4 linked regions of the Xenopus tropicalis genome follow. The protein of the gene in region 3 interacts with the protein of the main gene of each other region in a biochemical or structural test. Links are inferred from orthologs where the notes say so. Each region holds a gene or a part of one and is shown on either strand. Other genes may lie near its edges. The genes, in order: uba1, uba6, ube2g2 and marchf6.

Evidence for each region.
Region 1: of the proteins of ube2g2 (region 3) and uba1, one has a biochemical effect on the other in vitro, tested with the Homo sapiens proteins (5 studies listed by BioGRID, with this or other methods). The link is inferred for Xenopus tropicalis from reciprocal best matches to the Homo sapiens genes UBE2G2 and UBA1.
Region 2: the proteins of ube2g2 (region 3) and uba6 form a complex in vitro, tested with the Homo sapiens proteins (2 studies listed by BioGRID, with this or other methods). The link is inferred for Xenopus tropicalis from reciprocal best matches to the Homo sapiens genes UBE2G2 and UBA6.
Region 4: the proteins of ube2g2 (region 3) and marchf6 form a complex in vitro, tested with the Homo sapiens proteins (2 studies listed by BioGRID). The link is inferred for Xenopus tropicalis from reciprocal best matches to the Homo sapiens genes UBE2G2 and MARCHF6.

The regions. Positions count from the first base shown.
Region 1 is NC_030684.2:524,511-530,091, reverse strand, and holds the start of uba1 (ubiquitin-like modifier-activating enzyme 1), read right to left. Parts: upstream 3,320-5,581; 5' UTR 3,296-3,319; coding exon 3,182-3,295; intron 2,413-3,181; coding exon 2,354-2,412; intron 1-2,353. UniProt on the Homo sapiens protein: Catalyzes the first step in ubiquitin conjugation to mark cellular proteins for degradation through the ubiquitin-proteasome system.
Region 2 is NC_030677.2:82,716,832-82,722,398, reverse strand, and holds the start of uba6 (ubiquitin-like modifier-activating enzyme 6), read right to left. Parts: upstream 3,424-5,567; 5' UTR 3,218-3,423; coding exon 3,185-3,217; intron 995-3,184; coding exon 930-994; intron 1-929. UniProt on the Homo sapiens protein: Activates ubiquitin by first adenylating its C-terminal glycine residue with ATP, and thereafter linking this residue to the side chain of a cysteine residue in E1, yielding a ubiquitin-E1 thioester and free AMP.
Region 3 is NC_030685.2:55,059,401-55,063,022, forward strand, and holds part of ube2g2 (ubiquitin-conjugating enzyme E2 G2), read right to left. Parts: intron 2,749-3,622; coding exon 2,630-2,748; intron 1,377-2,629; coding exon 1,236-1,376; intron 521-1,235; coding exon 408-520; 3' UTR 1-407. UniProt on the Homo sapiens protein: Accepts ubiquitin from the E1 complex and catalyzes its covalent attachment to other proteins. In vitro catalyzes 'Lys-48'-linked polyubiquitination. Involved in endoplasmic reticulum-associated degradation (ERAD).
Region 4 is NC_030682.2:69,926,985-69,931,860, reverse strand, and holds part of marchf6 (E3 ubiquitin-protein ligase MARCH6), read right to left. Parts: intron 3,841-4,876; coding exon 3,751-3,840; intron 2,199-3,750; coding exon 2,066-2,198; intron 1,994-2,065; coding exon 1,858-1,993; intron 1-1,857. UniProt on the Homo sapiens protein: Endoplasmic reticulum membrane-associated E3 ubiquitin ligase that plays a critical role in mitigating endoplasmic reticulum stress, the regulation of cholesterol and lipid homeostasis, and ferroptosis.

The sequences.
Region 1 (5,581 bases), on a different chromosome or scaffold from region 3:
GGGTTAGGCCTCCTCCTCCTCCCAAACATACCAGCCCTCCAGCCCCATTCTATCTAAGCCATTAGCCCTACTGGCCCTCCAGCCCCATTCTATCTAAGCCATTAGCCCTACTGGCCCTCCAGCCCCATTCTATCTAAGCCATTAGCCCTACTGGCCCTCCAGCCCCATTCTATCTAAGCCATTAGCCCTGCTGGCCCTCCAGCCCCATTCTATCTAAGCCATTAGCCCTGCTGGCCCTCCAGTCCCTCCCCCCAAGCATTCCCAGTTCTATCTAAGCCATTAGCCCTGCTGGCCCTCCAGTCCCTCCCCCCAAGCATTCCCAGTTCTATCTAAGCCATTAGCCCTGCTGGCCCTCCAGTCCCTCCCCCCAAGCATTCCCAGTTCTATCTAAGCCATTAGCCCTGCTGGCCCTCCAGTCCCTCCCCCCAAGCATTCCCAGTTCTATCTAAGCCATTAGCCCTGCTGGCCCTCCAGTCCCTCCCCCCAAGCATTCCCAGCTCTATCTAAGCCATTAGCCCTGCTGGCCCTCCAGTCCCTCCCCCCAAGCATTCCCATCTCTATCTAAGCCATTAGCCCTGCTGGCCCTCCAGTCCCTCCCCCCAAGCATTCCCAGCTCTATCTAAGCCATTAGCCCTGCTGGCCCTCCAGTCCCTCCCCCCAAGCATTCCCAGTTCTATCTAAGCCATTAGCCCTACTGGCCCTCCAGCCCCTCCCACCAAGCATTCCCAGTTCTATCTAAGCCATTAGCCCTACTGGCCCTCCAGCCCCTCCCACCAAGCATTCCCAGTTCTATCTAAGCCATTAGCCCTGCTGGCCCTCCAGTCCCTCCCCCCAAGCATTCCCAGTTCTATCTAAGCCATTAGCCCTGCTGGCCCTCCAGTCCCTCCCCCCCAAGCATTCCCAGCTCTATCTAAGCCATTAGCCCTGCTGGCCCTCCAGTCCCTCCCCCCAAGCATTCCCAGTTCTATCTAAGCCATTAGCCCTACTGGCCCTCCAGCCCCTCCCACCAAGCATTCCCAGTTCTATCTAAGCCATTAGCCCTACTGGCCCTCCAGCCCCTCCCACCAAGCGTTCCCAGTTCTATCTAAGCCATTAGCCCTACTGGCCCTCCAGCCCCTCCCACCAAGCATTCCCAGTTCTATCTAAGCCATTAGCCCTACTGGCCCTCCAGCACCTCCCACCAAGCGTTCCCAGTTCTATCTAAGCCATTAGCCCTGCTGGCCCTCCAGCCCCTCCCAGTTCTAAGCCATTAGCCCTACTGGCCCTCCCACTAAGCGTTCCCAGTTCTATCTAAGCCATTAGCCCTACTGGCCCTCCAGCCCCTCCCACCAAGCGTTCCCAGTTCTATCTAAGCCATTAGCCCTACTGGCCCTCCAGCCCCTCCCAGTTCTATCTAAAACCATTAGCCCTACTGGCCCTCCAGCCCCTCCCACCAAGCATTCCCAGTTCTATCTAAGCCATTAGCCCTACTGGCCCTCCAGCCCCTCCCACCAAGCGTTCCCAGTTCTATCTAAGCCATTAGCCCTACTGGCCCTCCAGCCCCTCCCAGTTCTATCTAAGCCATTAGCCCTACTGGCCCTCCCACCAAGCGTTCCCAGTTCTATCTAAGCCATTAGCCCTACTGGCCCTCCAGCCCCTCCCCCCAAGCATTCCCAGTTCTATCTAAGCCATTAGCCCTACTGGCCCTCCAGCCCCTCCCACCAAGCGTTCCCAGTTCTAGCTAAGCCACTAGCCCTCCAGCCCCTCCCACCAAGCGTTCTCAGTTCTAGCTAAGCCATTAGACACCCCCCCGGCTGCCAGGTTTACTGGGGGCCCAACATAGTTGTTCATGGAGTGAGGGGGGGACCCCACAAAGACACGGGGGGGGGGGGGGGGAGGACCTGGGATGCACAAAACAGTAACTGTGTATAGGGAAAGCTGCCAATCTATACCAGAAGGCACACATCTGTACAGCTGCCCATTCTGATTGGCCCACTCAAAGGCTGCAGTCACATGGCCATAAAGGCCAAGGAGACCCGGAAGAGTTGTCAGCACAAAATCCGCTGATCTGTTGCTTCTCCAACAAGCAATTATATTAGGGCTGCATGTGAGTCTCACGGGATTGGCCGACAGCAGTCACCTGGCCATGCTGAACAATACAGGGGTCTGGGGAGGTCAAAGGTCACTGAAGTTACACAGACTGAAAAGGGTTAAAGCTACTGGGCAGTTTAACCTCCCAGAGAGAAAAAAGTCCCCAGGCCTTGGTTCCACACAGCAGAGGGGCCCCCAGCAACAGTCGAGGAGCCAAACCCTGCAGCCAATAGGAAGAAAGCCCCCCCGAATAACATGCAGCCAGGGAGGGTCTTATACTTACAGCTGCCTCGAGTAGAGACCCTCGTCTATCTCAGCAGAATTCCCGTTCCGAGCCATCCCCTGCAATAAATCCATTGGGTTAATCTGGGGGCCACATTAGAGCCCTCCCCTGCAATAAATCCATTGGGTTAATCTGGGGGCCACATTAGAGCCCTCCCCTGCAATAAATCCATTGGGTTAATCTGGGGGCCACATTAGAGCCCTCCCCTGCAATAAATCCATTGGGTTAATCTGGGGGCCACATTAGAGCCCTCCCCTGCAATAATCCATTGGGTTAATCTGGGGGCCACATTAGAGCCCTCCCCTGCAATAAATCCATTGGGTTAATCTGGGGGCCACATTAGAGCCCTCCCCTGCAATAAATCCATTGGGTTAATCTGGGGGCCACATTAGAGCCCTCCCCTGCAATAAATCCATTGGTTAATCTGGGGGCCACATAGAGCCCTCCCCTGCAATAAATCCATTGGGTTAATCTGGGGGCCACATTAGAGCCCTCCCCTGCAATAAATCCATTGGGTTAATCTCGGGGCCACATTAGAGCCCTCCCCTGCAATAAATCCATTGGGTTAATCTGGGGGCCACATTAGAGCCCTCCCCTGCAATAAATCCATTGGGTTAATCTGGGGGCCACATTAGAGCCCTCCCCTGCAATAAATCCATTGGGTTAATCTCGGGGCCACACTAGAGCCCTCCCCTGCAATAAGCCCATTGGGTTAATCTCGGGGCCACATTACTACTGGCCCCCAGCTAGAAAGCCAAGGGTACAGGTTGACTCTGAGCAAAGTAGAAAGGGGTTAGAATATGGCGGCACAGCCCGGGGGGCACTCACGTTGGCCGGCGCAGTCTGATCGGTGCTCACGGAGTTGGAGGATGAGCAGTTTGAACCCGTCTTTGTCTCAGATCCGGACACGCGACGCTTCTTGGACAGCGGCGAGCTGGACATCTAACCGGGAGAAAAGATCAGGTCAGTGTATGCGGTTGTACAGGGCTGGTACCGTAGCAGGGGCGGGGCACGAGGGACGAGCAAGCAGGGGCGGGGCACGAGCAAGCAGGGGGGGGGCACCAGGGACGAGCAAGCAGGGGCGGGGCACCAGGGACGAGCAAGCAGGGGCGGGGCACCAGGGACGAGCAAGCAGGGTGCGGGGCACCAGGGACGGAGCAAGCAGGGGCGGGGCACCAGGGACGAGCAAGCAGGGGCGGGGCACAGGACGAGCAAGCAGGGGCGGGGCACCAGGGACGAGCAAGCAGGGGGGGCCGGCGAAGGGGGGCACCAGGGACGAGCAAGCAGGGCGGGGCACCAGGACGAGCAAGCAGGGGGGGGCACGAGGGACGAGCAAGCAGGGGCGGGGCACGAGGGACGAGCAAGCAGGGACGGGGCACGAGGGACGAGCAAGCAGGGGCGGGCACGAGGGACGAGCAAGCAGGGGCGGGGCACGAGGGACGAGCAAGCAGGGGCGGGGCACGAGGGACGAGCAAGCAGGGGCGGGGCACGAGGGACGAGCAAGCAGGGGCGGGGCACGAGGGACGAGCAAGCAGGGGCGGGGCACGAGGGACGAGCAAGCAGTGTGCGCAAACACAGAGCAAATACAACAATTTCTGTAACTCTATAATGAATATTATAGAATGTCAGCTCTTGGGCAGAACAAGCAGCTCCTGTTGGGCATTACAAAGCTGCCATGCTGCAGGTATTGCCCCACCTGGGGGTGAGAGAAGGTACAACGGCAGGGAGACGGGGGCAGGCACAGCAGTGAGACTGCAGGAAATTCTACGGTATCTCTGGGGCCCAGGAAGGGTTTGGGGCCCCACCATTTGGCGTTTGCCCCGTATGAAGCCTGGCATAACCTACCCAGCATACTGTACCCCCCCCCCCCCAACATGGGGCAAAGCGGCTTTACACAGGCCTCTCTAGCAGTAGCAGCTGTACTCACACAGTGACACTCACAGGCGCCCAACTCATCCCCACGCAGCCCAATATAATAACACCCCTATACTATTTGTGCCACCCTCGCCGCACAGCTAAACCCCCCGTGGCAGCAGAGCGAGCAATCAAACAGGGTGACCCCCAATGCAATTGGTCTTTATTTCCACGTTTCTGCCCCCAACAACTCAACTCAATGGTACAATGTAACCAGGCTAGAAATATAAGCTCCTCCTACTTATATTGGTATCCTGGCACCAAAAGGCTGTGGGTAACCTGAACAGAGAACCCACAGTGGGGTGGGACAGTGGGACAGACCGTATCAGGGTCGGTGCCGGGACAGAGGGACAGACAGTATCAGGGCCGGTACAGAGGGACAGACAGTATCAGGGCCGGGACAGAGGGACAGACAGTATCAGGGCCGGGACAGAGGGACAGACAGTATCAGGGCCGGGACAGAGGGACAGACAGTATCAGGGTCGGTACAGAGGGACAGACAGTATCAGGGTCGGTACAGAGGGACAGACAGTATCAGGGCCGGGACAGAGGGACAGACAGTATCAGGGCCGGTACAGAGGGACAGACAGTATCAGGGTCGGTACAGAGGGACAGACAGTATCAGGGTCGGTACAGAGGGACAGACAGTATCAGGGTCGGTACAGAGGGACAGACAGTATCAGGGTCGGTGCCGGGACAGAGGGACAGACAGTATCAGGGTCGGTGCCGGGACAGAGGGACAGACAGTATCAGGGTCGGTGCCGGGACAGAGGGACAGACCGTATCAGGGTCGGTGCCGGGACAGAGGGACAGACAGTATCAGGGTCGGTACAGAGGGACAGACAGTATCAGGGTCGGTGCCGGGACAGAGGGACAGACCGTATCAGGGTCGGTGCCGGGACAGAGGGACAGACAGTATCAGGGCCGGTACAGAGGGACAGACAGTATCAGGGTCGGGACAGAGGGACAGACAGTATCAGGGCCGGTACAGAGGGACAGACAGTATCAGGGCCGGTACAGAGGGACAGACAGTATCAGGGTCGGTACAGAGGGACAGACAGTATCAGGGTCGGGACAGAGGGACAGACAGTATCAGGGCCGGTACAGAGGGACAGACAGTATCAGGGCCGGTACAGAGGGACAGACAGTATCAGGGTCGGTACAGAGGGACAGACAGTATCAGGGCCGGTACAGAGGGACAGACAGTATCAGGGTCGGTGCCGGGACAGAGGGACAGACAGTATCAGGGCCGGTACAGAGGGACAGACAGTATCAGGGTCGGGACAGAGGGACAGACAGTATCAGGGTCGGGAC
Region 2 (5,567 bases), on a different chromosome or scaffold from region 3:
CAGAGAAGCTATTATCTTGGTACCATATACAGGCTGTTCAGTTGTTAATTCAAACAAGAAAGGATGAATTTGTAGAGAAATATAGTTTAGTATATATTTTATATATTTTGAGTATTTAGATAGGTCTGTATATGTATGTGTATGCACTGGGGTTTATTTGGAAGGGTCGAACTTTATAGACTTTTGTCTTTTTTCAACCCAACTTACCTACATAACTATGTAAATGGCTGTTACGGTATGTGATCTTGAATGCTCTTGAATGACCTGAACCAGGCCAATCCTGACTTGTTTTCTATATATATGAACAGTACTGCTGGTAACATCAATTAGGTGGATGGGGCATCGCCACTGACATACCTGGGGGGGGGGGGGGGGGTGCAGGACACACCTATGTGCCAGAAGCCTGAATTTGCTATTCCTTGCCTTCCATTGACTCAAAATAGAAATGTTTAAAGGGCATGTCAACCCCAAGAATAATTGTTTGCCTAGTAAAAGGAAACATAATTCAAAGCAACTTTCCAATATGGATTTATTAAATGTTTTAGTGCTTTAAAAGTTATTTGTAAATGCAATTGCTATTGAAAGCAGCATTTGCTGAACTCCTGGTTGTTACTTTTAAACAATGTTGCAATGGTCAGCCTCCTCCAGCGAGAAAGGTCTGTCAATCTGCTGCCTTGTGTTACATTGTTTCTACAGTCTGAACCACCAGGGCAGGGAATAGAACATGACAGGCAAACACTGATCAATTATAAATTTGTAATGAATGTATATTGCAAAGTTGCTTAGAATTTTGTTTTTCTATTGGGTAAAAAAAAAAAAAAATTTTTTTGCTTGACTTGCCCTTTAAAAATATTGACAGCTCATTCAGATTCATTGAAAAGCACCCTGTGTACCCTCAGCCTAAGTATAATTAATATTCTGCCACTTACCTATATAAACCATCATCAATTTCAGTTGATTCTGCTGCCATAATTTGGTCAGTATATTTTGCTGCCTGTGAAAAATAGAAGAAGGATTAGATATTAAGTAGCAGGATCAAGTTATGGTTATAATCAAATTATACTTGAGTGCTTTGGCTCATTTATTTGCAGACCCTTCAACACTTATGTCAAATACTTTAACTGTCAAGAAAAGGTAAAATGAAGTCCAGTATATTTAAAAACAAAACTTAATGCACAGAGAATGTTTATGTTGCTTGTAAATCACATTTTTGGCAGATACTGCTCTAAATCTATCTACCTTAGAATTGGTGACTAAGCACAAAAAAGCACACTGCAGCATTTTGTACACAAATGCAGGACTTCGAGAAGATGGTAATTGAACTATGGCTGACACAAACAAATACAGGGAGGTCATAATTTCTCAATTTTTATGGTAGCAAGAACCAAAAGGCATATTCCCAGTCAATGCCCAGATTCTTAATCAAATTGTGCATCTTTGGCACTCTTTTGAAAATTGCATCAAAATTATTTGGAAAACTTGGAACAAATCTGCAAGTTTGGGCCAAAATCAGACCCAATTAGTATGCAAAGCATACTTATGTATACTTATGGGGACTGAATAATTATACAAAACACATTTCATGTTTTTGGTTTTTTTTTTAAATAATGTGACATAGACAAGCTAATTCTGATAAGAAATCACAGAACACAATTTCAATGCAGGATTTTTTATTCAAAATAAAGAGTGCTTGGGACCAGAGGATTCCAGATAAGGGATCTCCATACCTTAATCAATTAAACCCAATAGGATTGTTTTGCCTCTAATAATGGTTAATTATATGTTAGTTGGGATCAAGTACAAGGTACTGTTTTATTAATACAGAGAAAAAGGAAATCACTTTTAAAATTTTTAATTATTTGCTTATAATGGAGTCTGTGGAAGATGGCCTTCCTCTAATTTGGAACATTCTGTATAATGGGTTTTCAGGTAACGGATCCCATACCTGTAATTGAAATAAAGGGTGAAGGGAAACCCTACATACTGGTGCAGAACCTCCAGGGAAATCATAGATACTGCTGGGTAAGAACTAGGGAATATTTACATACTGTTTGAGAGAGAAAAGTGCATGGGTACTGTATATATATCTAATGAAACTAGGGTTTACACTGTAAGCAATGTTGGAAATACAGGAAACTCATTTTAATAGGACACTTTTATAAGTAGCTAGCCAGAATAGCTGCAGTCACCTGTAGTTGATAAAGATACACCAGGTCCAAATTTATTAGACAAATCAATTCGAAGCGATCATTTTGGTGAAATACCTAAATGATCCCAAGTCTGAATTTGCATATTTTGTTTTGAGCAGAATTAAAAAGTTTGCATCATCCATGGAAAAACATTGCCTTCTGTTGTGCAGTGCTTTTATTTTCCAGGTACAAGACTGGGTTTGGCTGAACATTAAAGCTTAGTTCTAATAAGTCCTAATAAAACTTGCTAGTTGGATGACTCTTAAACTGAATCCTGTATTTGGAGCTTAGTATTTAGGGGTAACCAGGGAGGCCAAAAGATGAACATACTCCAGAAAGCGAGAGCTGCTAAAAAAAGGTGAAAAGCAAATACTGCTAACATATTTTGGTCTGTGGACAAAAGGCAGAAGAGTTTCCACGATTTCTTATCACGTCAAGTCAGTTAAAGTCAGGTTCATAAAAAGAAAAAATTACAAAAAAAACAGCTAATGGGATAGTACCTTTGGTACCATTACCTATCCGGCTGTTACTCAATTAGCATCCTTTGACTGCTTTGTGCAAAACAAGAAATGTAGGATACAGTGACAATGTGGGACATGCTATAGTTAGCTTTGGCAACATGGCACAGAAAGAATAAATAGATGGGTTCTACATTTCCTACATTATACATAGGGAAATATCTAAGGCAGTATGGAATGGTTCAATTTCATTAATATATAGTATAGATGTTGTATTTGGTTCAATACATAGGGCACCAACATTTTGTTTAATACATAGAGAAAAATTAATTAAAAAGCCAGGTACAAGAATATTGGTTTTAATATGACAACAGACAGAGGGGCCACAAGCACCAATCTTACCAGGTATGACTGACAGGGTGGCACACAGAAAGTTGTTCAGAAGGCGGGGAACTGGGCTACTAGTTTTGACTAATATAACAGAAGAATGCAATCTGGTCATTTGCTGGTTACCTTACTTAACCTGAACGATACTACCTGGTGTACAAGTTTGCCTAATCTCTTTTGCATCCTGCCTTCTCTTCCTCATACTTGTCTGCAAGGTGGCTGCAGGCTCCACCCCAGGAGGTAAGCCAGAATACTTGCTGATCCAATTGTTCAACCATTCCAGCCTGCTATGCATCATACTACAGGCACATACAAGCAAGATAGTGTGACATACACACAGGGGAGGGGCATCTGGCTGCAGACGTTAGAGATTGTGGGGAAAATAATGCTTGTTTTGCTTAAAAATAAGGGGCAGAAATACAGATTTTTCCTGATACCTGGTAAGAGTTAAAGGAGAAGAAAAAGCTTTGATGAACAAACAATTCAGTGGAAATATAAAATCTAATAATATGAACCCATAATAAATGGTTATTTAAGCAATGAATAATGAAATGGGACCAGGCCCGGATTTGTGGAGAGGCCACAAAGGCCCGGGCCTAGGGCGGCATGCCGCCCCGCCACACCAAAATCTAAAAAGTTTTGTACCCATACGGAGCAATGGGGGGACTTCTCCCCACTGCTTCGTATCCAAGTTTGGCCCACTGCGCACGCAAACCCCTCTCCCCCTGTATCGCGCATGCGCACTGGGGGGGAAGGCGTGTGACCGGGGGCGGACAATTTGGAAATCCGGCCCTGAATGGGACAAATGTGTGATTATAGCACCCCTTTTAGGGTGAAGACACACAGAGCTACTAGTAGCAGCTACTTGTGGCTAAAAAAAGACTGCTGATCATTTACTGATAATTGTCTCTACGTGTGTTTTAGCAGAGGCAATTCTCACTATTGTCTATGGCAAGGTATTTTCTGGAGTTTAGTAGCTGTGAAAAAGTAGCGGCTATTAGTAGCTCCATGTGACTTTGCCCTTAATGACAGTAGTTGTTTAGAACAGTCAGCCTGTAAGTGCAGACAGGTGATTTTCAACCATTACAGACTGATGTGTTTTTTGTGTAAAACAGAAGTTGAAACATCCCAGTGAAAATAAAGCACAAGCTGATCTGCCACTTACACTAAAATAGTAAATATTTCACAGATATATCTTTGTTTGTTGTTGCTACTGCAAGATGAAAGAAACTTTCCAATATACATTTGAATATTTCAATAGCTTTGAAGTTAAATGTAAATGTTACAGCATCTTTCTGCCTGCTTATATTCTCTGCACTGCTGGGTGACTCCTAAAACAAAGTAGCAGAAGCCAGCTGACTAAAGTAGAGAACTGACATCTACTCCATTGCTTCAAGACTTAGAACGAGAGATCATAAAGAGATTAATACTGCTTTCAAATGCAATTACATTTACAAATAATGTTAAAAACATTAAGAATATCTAATACATATATACTGGAAAGTTCATCCCCTTTAAGAAAAATGTACCCCCATTGAAATGTCAGCAAAATCCTGGTGCAAGCTTACACATGGATACTGACAGCAGTGACACGGCACCCAGCAGAGAACACAAGCAAATGTCCCATTAGAATGCTGTCTCCTTTATAACCCTCCTCCAAACAAAATGTGTTTCATTCTAGTTACAATACAGCGTGTAGAATTCTAACCTGTGATGCTGCAGCCGTCACAATTCGGTGTCGGCCAGGGAAAGGAAGCAATGAGGAAAGGAAAAAGGAAAACTACAAATCCCACCATGCCTTGCAGCTATAAGAAAGCGGAAGGAAAGAGCAGAATATAATTCAGACAAGCCTATCTTTATTAGATAGTGACAGGAGGCTCGGATTGTACATGTTGCCAAAAAGCCATTAAAGACTGGAAGCTTTAAAACAATATCAGGTAATGCGTAGTTTGAGATGACCTAGCGCAGCTCTGCTCATTGCAGTTTTATACAAGCGTTCAATTTTCTTGCCTGGTGCTTTCGGTAGTAACCGGAAAAATACCCTAATTAGTGATTAAAACTTTGAGTTATGGGTGACTCAATTAAAAGACTGCCAGGGACAGGAAATCTATTTTTCATTCATTTAAAATGAGTAGGTTTTTCAGAAGTGTCAGGAAGTTTGACATCAGCCCCTAACTCTTGCAGACATGCCAGCCTCCCTGACTTTGTACGTTCTTGGGCAGGTAGCTGTAATACAGTGATCTGACTTGCCACTGGGAGGCGAAAACTGAGTTGATAAGAAGATAGGGAATAGTGAAATCTGGATGTAGTCAGAATTAGGCAAATATAGGAGTTTTGTGCTTATGGTGGCTGAAGTCCAGATGCCTCTTTTTTGTATACCACATGTATTTGTGCACTGCTCAACCTGGCAAGCCTGATTTGTGCCTGTTGTTCTGCCTCTCTATTTATAACAAAACATGAATTTCTGTGTTATACCCACTTCTCCAGACTCTACGCTGATTTTTCTCTCAGTAGGCAATGTGTAGTTTCTGCT
Region 3 (3,622 bases):
CTTTGTGACACAAATCATAATCTAAGTCAATTAAACAGCTATATCCCTTCATTTCTGAGGTCAAGTCTTCAAAATAATGGCAGAGGTCTGCATTAACAAACAAAGTATAGAACACCGGTGGCTTTTCTACGTCTGATACTTTGTTTTAAAACAAAGATCCACCTTTAATAAAAAACAGAGAATAAAGGCAGTTGCAAATAAGGAAGCAGCCAGCAAGTACTTGTGTAGGTTTTTTTAAAAAAAAAAACATGCAGTATTTACTAAGCTGTGATGAATACAAGCCCTGCATGATGTAATAATTCAGCTCAACTAGAAAAGGAATTACAACATAGAAATTTCTCTAGTGAGTCCATAAAGCGTTCATACAAAAAGTTTTTGGGATCCAGTTTCTAAAATACTGCTAGGTTTCACAACCCTAATGATTTCTGCACAGTTTGTCTTGCAATCTTGTTAAATTGCTCACGATCTTCTCGCCACATTTTTGAAGCATCCACGTTTGCTCCACTTTCGTCATTGGGCTCTGCAAAAGATTTTAGCATTTTAGCAAAGAAGCAAAAAGCAGATAATTATATTATTCTGAATCATTTTCTACTAATCATCCATGGGTTAGGGCTGCTTGTGAGACAGTATTAACTGCTTCTAAGCCTGGACTTAAACTCTGATCTGCCTGATAAATCCTATGCGTGTATATTAGAACCTGCTCAAACTGCCACAACCTCTTTGTAAGGTCATTCATGAATGTAAATCTACAGAGGAGGGATACTGTGTTCACAGAATAAGCTGGGTCCTCATTTACCTATGGGTATTTAAGGTAAATAAAACGGAGAATAATAGTTATAAAATGTGCTGACTTCCTTGGAATGTAGCTGCAGTTGCTCATTTCTCGGGGTCAGGGCACAAGTGGTGGATTGTCAGCCTACAGATAAGCACGGGATGACAATCTGCGCCTACACATAAAAAATCTTCTAGTTGTTCCTGTACACGGGAAGCAGTAAATCCTCAGGTTAAGGCACACGCAGCCAATATCCACCAACAAACAGCAAGTTTCGCGTTTGTTGTTGGATATTCGCTGCGTATCCTGCACCCGTGTGGATTCAATGCTTCTGGATGCAGGAACAACGAGAAGATTTTATAAGCATAGGGGCAGATTTCAGCCTGTGCTTATCTGCAGGCTGGCAATCCACCCCGTGTGCCCTTGCCCTTAATGTTTATCATAAAAAATTAAATTTGCCCACCTGCTAACATGCTCACAACAGAAAGCAGAATCTTCTCCACACTCTGAACAGGGCTCCACCTCTCAGCACTGCTCTCGTAACCCATGGGATCATCTCCTGGGGCATGCAGGATGGAGATGCAGACCCTCCCATCTGGATATACTAAAGAAAAAAAATTAAGCATGCAAAAAAGCTTTTGAACACTTGATCACTATTCATCAGGTAACAATAAGAGCAGCAGGTAAAAGAAACCTCAAAATTATTTTGAAATTATTTAAAGATTATATACTGCAGAGATATACTATCTATACCAATACTGTATTTTTAGCTCTCTAAGTAAGTCAATAACATGGTTGATTTTATGTTTTCCATGCCAACCAAGTGACACTTAATTTCTGTTATTTATCTACTAGTGGTGTGCTATTTACTAAGCTAGCGCAACAGTGTAAATACTTTGCCATTGCACTACAGGTCCTTTATATGCACCTGAAATAACTGATGCAGTTCATTGTCCACTGTGCTTTGGGCTTTGTAATTGCCACAAACCTTATTGCAAATTTAATAACAGAATGTACAAAACAATTCAAATGTGAAGAGTTAATCATTTAGAGTTGATCCACACAAGATGCAACAAATAATATCTGGTAATATCTGGAAGAATATGGAAGTTACGTTTTTCTAAATGCTGGCTTTTTATAAGGCTTGTGTGCCTATACTATGATCATCCCCATGCATCACGTCTATATATATATATATATATATAAAATGTTTCCATTTAATCAATATATACAAGGAATTACACATCAGCACATGAAAAGATAATAAGATACTCAAAACCTTTACTTTTCTGCCAAGTACAGCCTCCTCTAAATATGCGAATCTTAATAAAACAGCATTTGTTGGCATTTTGTAAGCCCTTCCTTTTCTGGGATTTTTAACCCTTTTTTACTCTTAATGGCTATTCATGGGACTGGATTACATACACTTATGTGTTTCAGCATCTTGAAAGAAGACAAATTATGGGTTGGTTTTGTACCATACTGACAGAAAATGAAAACAATATGTTGCCTTTGACTTGTATAAAAAGAAACAAGTAGAAATGTTTAGTGCTTTCAAACTTTACCATCAGTTTATAGAAATCATAAGAAAGTTCAGCCTGATAGATAAAGACACTCATTTTACCCCTTTACATTTAGGCATTAATTTATATAGACTACACAGGCATACAAAAATAGTTAATTAAATGCAGAAATAAATAAATAAAAAGGGCTGCAACGTTAAACGTATACTTGTTAAATATCTTTATCATTACTTATATATTTCTTGTTTATGTCTATGTGGATTTGCCAAAATCATTTACTGTAATATTAGACAAAAGCTTCAGTACCAGTAGTTGAGCTAATCAGTTTACTTACTGTTTGGATGAAACATTTCACAGGTAAATCTCATTTTCGGTGGGCTAAGTGGATAATCAAGAGGAAAACTGAGAATCGCTGGGAAAACGCCACACTCAAAACATGTGTCTTCTGGGCCCCTGCAGGCAAAAAGAATAAAGAAAACTTCAACTTGCTGCCACAAATCATGACACCTCATGAAACCTCACTTTGAAACCCGTTATCCAGAAAACTCGCCTCCTATAAAGTCTATTTGAAGCATATAATTTTAATATTTTTAAATGATCTTTTTTTCTCTTTAGTAAGAAAATAGTACCTTGTATTTGATGGTATTTAATCTACATGAATCCATTCTGAAAGCAAAACAACAATTCTACTGGATTTTTTAATGTTTCAACAATTTTAAGTAGACTTAAGGAATGGAGCTCCATACTACGGAAAATCCCTCAACCAGAAAACCCCAGGCCCCAAGCATTCCGCATAACAGATCTACCTGCACTAACCTTAATGTGTGACACTTGCACAAATTACCCTAAATGAGGTCTTATAGGGTTAAAAATTCTTAGCTCAGAGCAAGATCTTATATATATATATATACAGTGGTGTGAAAAACTATTTGCCCCCTTCCTGATTTCTTATTCTTTTGCAGGTTTGTCACACAAAATGTTTCTGATCATCAAACACATTTAACTATTAGTCAAAGATAACACAAGTAAACACAAAATGCAGTTTTTAAATGAGGGTTTTTATTATTTAGGGAGAAAAAAAATCCAAACCTACATGGCCCTGTGTGAAAAAGTAATTGCCCCCTGAACCTAATAACTGGTTGGGCCACCCTTAGCAGCAATAACTGCAATCAAGCGTTTGCGATAACTTGCAACGAGTCTTCACCTGTTTAGCCTGGCATTTATGGCCACATAACTTATCTGAGACAAGCTTATGCGCTTTGGGTCCCACGGGAGAAAAGCGCTTTACAAATGTTTGTTGTTGTTGTTGTTGTTGTTTTACAGCGCT
Region 4 (4,876 bases), on a different chromosome or scaffold from region 3:
GAGCTATAAAATATTAGGTGTATATCTAGGTCTAAAGGTGGCCATAAACGTAGCAATTTCGATCTTTTGTGCGACCAATGGTTGCACGAAAGATGGTTCCCACCTTCCACTGATGTTCAGGGCTGAATTGTCAGATATGGAGGTAGAAACAATAAAAAATCTACCGATTCAGCCCTGAACGTAGATTTTGCTCGGGTGCCATTACAAAATCTTTTAACCTGGTCGATCGGCGAGTCGACCAATATCTGCAGCCTTTTGCGATATCAGTCGCTTTGTCGACCCGCCATACACAAACCAAGTATCATACGAATCAAGGTTTTGTACGATACTATTGGTGCATATATGGTCGGCTAAAGTATGTATCACAAACAGTGCTGGTATTGTGATATTTTGTTTTCTTCAGCCTTACTTAATCCCTTTAACTCTTAAACTGGTATTTAAGTAAAATGAATAAAGAAATAGGCATTTTCCTAAACCTCCCTCAACCCTCCATAAAAAAAATCAAAGTTTAAAAAAAGAAAGAGAAAAATAAACAAATCCTAAGACTGACAATTTGCCTACTTGTGTTTGTCTTGAAGGGTAGTGCTGCTCACTAGTATCTGTAGAAAAAAAATCACTACCTGTCAGCTCACAGAGATTCCAGTGATGTCATTGTGAGCTTTCTTGCGAAAAATACTGCAAGATATTAGGCTGATGCCACACCAGGCGTAGGGCTGATTTTTTCGGCAAGCGGAAAAACGCTTGCCAAAAATTCAGCCCTACGCCTGCTACTTGTGCCTGCACCCGAATGAATGGGATACGCTTGGGTGCAGGCACATGTAGCCGAAAAAATCAGCCCTACGCCACGTGTGGCATCAGCCTTAGATGTGAAAAGCCGGTCTGTGAGCTAAATACTTTTAGGAAACAGGTGTGATTGAGGTTTACCTAGGCTGCTTGATCTGACAATCGAAGCCAAGAGACAAAACAGCTGCTTATCCTCCACATGCTTGTATGGTATGTAGGGATTGTTTGATATTTACATTACATGTGAACTTGTCCTGGATAGGTGCTTTTGGGTTACAGGAAGTTATTAGCAAAAACATTAAATAAACACCATGGGCCTCTCATATAAAAGTGCAGCAGCTGTAGACAGTGTACTTGGGAGTTCCTGTATAAGGCAGCCTGTCTTGGGGGTCTTATTATTATTAAAAGTTGCGGCAAATAGAATTGAGTCTGCAGAAGCAGTCTAAATGTGATATAAAATGGACGTAGCAGCAGGTAGTATGATTGAAGCTTTTGTTATAATTGCCATCAACGTTGCCTGTTATAATGCTGCATCTAGGGGTCCCTGCAATAACTGCGATAAAATAGTATTCAGTTTATGTAGGAGTGCCTGTTGTGAATTGAATGAACAGCATTCAGTGTCTAGGCATTCCTTATTTTGAAAGAAGGTAGCATTAGGCTGTGTGCTACAGCATGTAATATATATGCAGATTGTATATCTGATACTCGGCTATCTTTTAAAATAGCCTACAGTGTCAGACAAACATAACACTGAAAAACAGTAAAATGTGTTCAATATTCATCCAGATCATGTTATAAAGTATCAATTTGGATTGATCTGATTGTACACAGGGCGATAAAAGCTGCCAGTGGTCTGAGTTGGCAGTTTATTCACCCCTGCATGGGGCCCTGAGACGGACCCAAAGGCTGAACAAACAAAAGTTCATGTTTAGCTATAGCCAAGGGTACCAATTTAACCAGGAAATAAACAAGTCAAAAAACATTTTAATGCAAACTTTTAAAATGTATTAATAATTAGCATATAGTTCAAGCAGGTAAAAAAGGAAGATTGGTAATATAAAATTGTTTCCTTACTTGTCATTTTTGATGTGTTCATAAAGGCGCTTAAACTGGCGGATCTGGAAGGATAAGATCCCCATCAGAACTACTACCATCAAAAGAAATGGATATATGCGGCGCTGTACCAAATTTTGCATTTCTGCTGTGACACCTGTAAAAAATGAAAGAACTTAGAAAAATTTCTTATACATCTGTAAACAAAAACTTAAGCAGAAACACTTACCAATTACTGGCACAATGGCAGCAGCAATTATATATGGTATACATAGTGACAGCAACAGAACAGAGATGACTGGTGCAGCAAGTCTGCGTATTATAAAATGAAGATCAATGTTGCGTATTCCATTTGCATATACCTAATAAAAACACAAAGGATGGAAAATAAAAGTTTATATTTAGCCCAAATTAATCTCTACAAACCTGGTCTCATTACAAAATGTTTAGAATAGCTTTACCATGGAGAAATACATACATGGTTTTTAAACAAACAGACTTTTAACAAGTATTTTACACCAAAACAAAATGAAAACCTGTTTTTCACTTGAGAACATCTTTTCTGCAGGAAGCAAAAGGGTTTTACCTAACAAAACACAAAAATCATGCTTCTATTTGGCTGAGGTGGCTCACCAATAAATAATGATTAGATTTATTCCATAAAATAGTTTGCTGTTTGTGTATGTGTAAATACACAGGGCACTACATTGAAAATATATTAAACACTTGTGTATACAAAAAAGTACAGACATAGGAGTATTTTCTTGCTTTGAACAAGAACTTTTTTCAAAATTCTTTGGTTAAGCAAGTTTAAAACATTACAGCCAAAATATAAAACATGTACAAGTTGCCAATTTTTTAAGTTACAATAAACGTAATAAAGAACTTCAACATGGTGTCTTCCTCTACTAGTATTCCTCCCCTGGATGCAGCATGATCCCCTAAGTGGGGTGAAACCCATTTTTCTTTATTTATTGGTGTTAACAAGTCTTGGCTATGCTGGGAAAATAAATAAATCAATTTCTCTTATTTCTGATGACTGGACCAGTTGACCTGGTAAAATGTATAGAGAATACCGCCTCCTCTACTGTAATTTTAATGCTGTTGACGTCAAGAAGAGTTATGTGACCATACAATGCTGAGTCACAGAACTCAGAAGAGGTGACTTCTAATAGCCATATAAAAATCAGTTGAGGTCTCTTTTGGGAATCATGGGATTCTGTCATGATTTTTTGTAGTGTACTTTTTATTTCTAAATTACACTGTTTTAGCAAGTAATTCACGTCACCATTTAAAATTTTATTCTTGAACCAACATATGTATTTTTATTTTTTTTTTATTTGTAATATTGGTGAGCCATCTCAGTACATTGTGCCTGATTTTGAGCTTTCAGAAGGAGTCAGCATTAGAAATGCTTTCAGATAACCTACTGTTTCTCCTATTCCCATGTAACTGGAGGAGTAGTGAAGTCAATTGGCTTAGGGTACACTTTGGAACGGGCTTTGGAACAGCCAGCAGCAGATGACAAAAAGAGTGGGTCAAATAACAGACACACAGATTAGTGTATGGCTCTCGCTTCTGAACAGCAAATATAAATAATGAACTGCAAGGTTATTTTAAATACCCTCATATCATACAAAACTGATTAAAACTGATTTCCTTATTAGGCACAGTATAAAAGGATATAATATATAGGATATTCATTGCTCTTCTGTATCATATGTTGCAATTTTTATTTTTATAAATAAGGACATTTTAGTAGTATCTTAATGTCTTTTCATGTATCAATAAGAATTAGTGCAAAAGGAGCTTGTGTAATTTATTGGAGATATTGGAGAAGGTCACTATTTTGTATTCTTTTGTCTGTGCTATTTACATGCAAGAATCAGGAATAAAAATTATTTGGTTTCTTACTTGTTCAATTACAGTTTTCAGCCACCACTGAGGACCCATCAGAGTTATAGCAGCAATTATTTTGGCATGGAGAACTCCAAGAGCCCAGTCCTGCACAAGAAAAATAAAGACAATTGCACACAGAATGATGATTATTATTTGTCCCCTTAAATTCTAAACTTTCAGAAGCACATTAAGAATTAAACATATCCCTAGCTTAACTGAAGAAACTTGGGTAGATGCTCTAAGGCAAATTCCAGACCTGACAATATCACTAGCGGACAGGTATATACAAATGAAGTTTCTAAACCGGGTATACCTTACGCCATACAGGCTGTACAAAATGTTTCCCCAGACCCCAGACACCTGTATAAAATGTGACCGAGAAACTGGCTCATACATACACGTGTTCTGGAACTGTCCAGCCGTGCAGGTCTTCTGGAAGAAAATTGTCAACGATATCTCAGATGACCTAAGCTTTCCCCGGATATTGTCACCAATTGTTTGCCTACTGGGAGTGGCAGAGGACCTGGGGCTTTCACATCATTCTAGACTCTGCTATCTCCAGCTCCTCTACTATGCCAAAAAGGCCATTCTACTGCAATGGAAATGCTTAGCCCCCCCAACCCTCCCATTCTGGAGAACTCTAGTCAACAACACTCTAACTAACCAGAAACTGACCTACCTTGCACGGGGTTGTCCTAAAAAATTGGATGCAATATGGGGCCCATGGATTGCCTTCCACGAAACCCCAGGAAACACTGCGGACAATATACCATAACAACGGAAATAAACTGGTCCCCATCTCCCCAGCTCTACAGCCTGCCTCTTCTCCCCTTCCTCCCCCCCCTCTCCTCCCTTACTTCTCTACTCTCTCTCTCTCCCTTTTTGCTGTTTTACTTTTATGTTAATCTGAAAAATGCATAAATAAAAACTTTAAAAAAAAAAAGAATTAAACATATCAAACAAGTGCTTAAATACTATTCTTTCAGAACCATATTAAGAATAAAAGATGTCAAACAAGTGCTTGTGGGCTTTCACACTGCACATCACTATACAAATAAATGTTCTTAATTCCATTAAAAAATTAAACGGGACCTGTTACTCACATTCCCCCTGTCTCTTCCCAATCTATAATTTGTAGCAC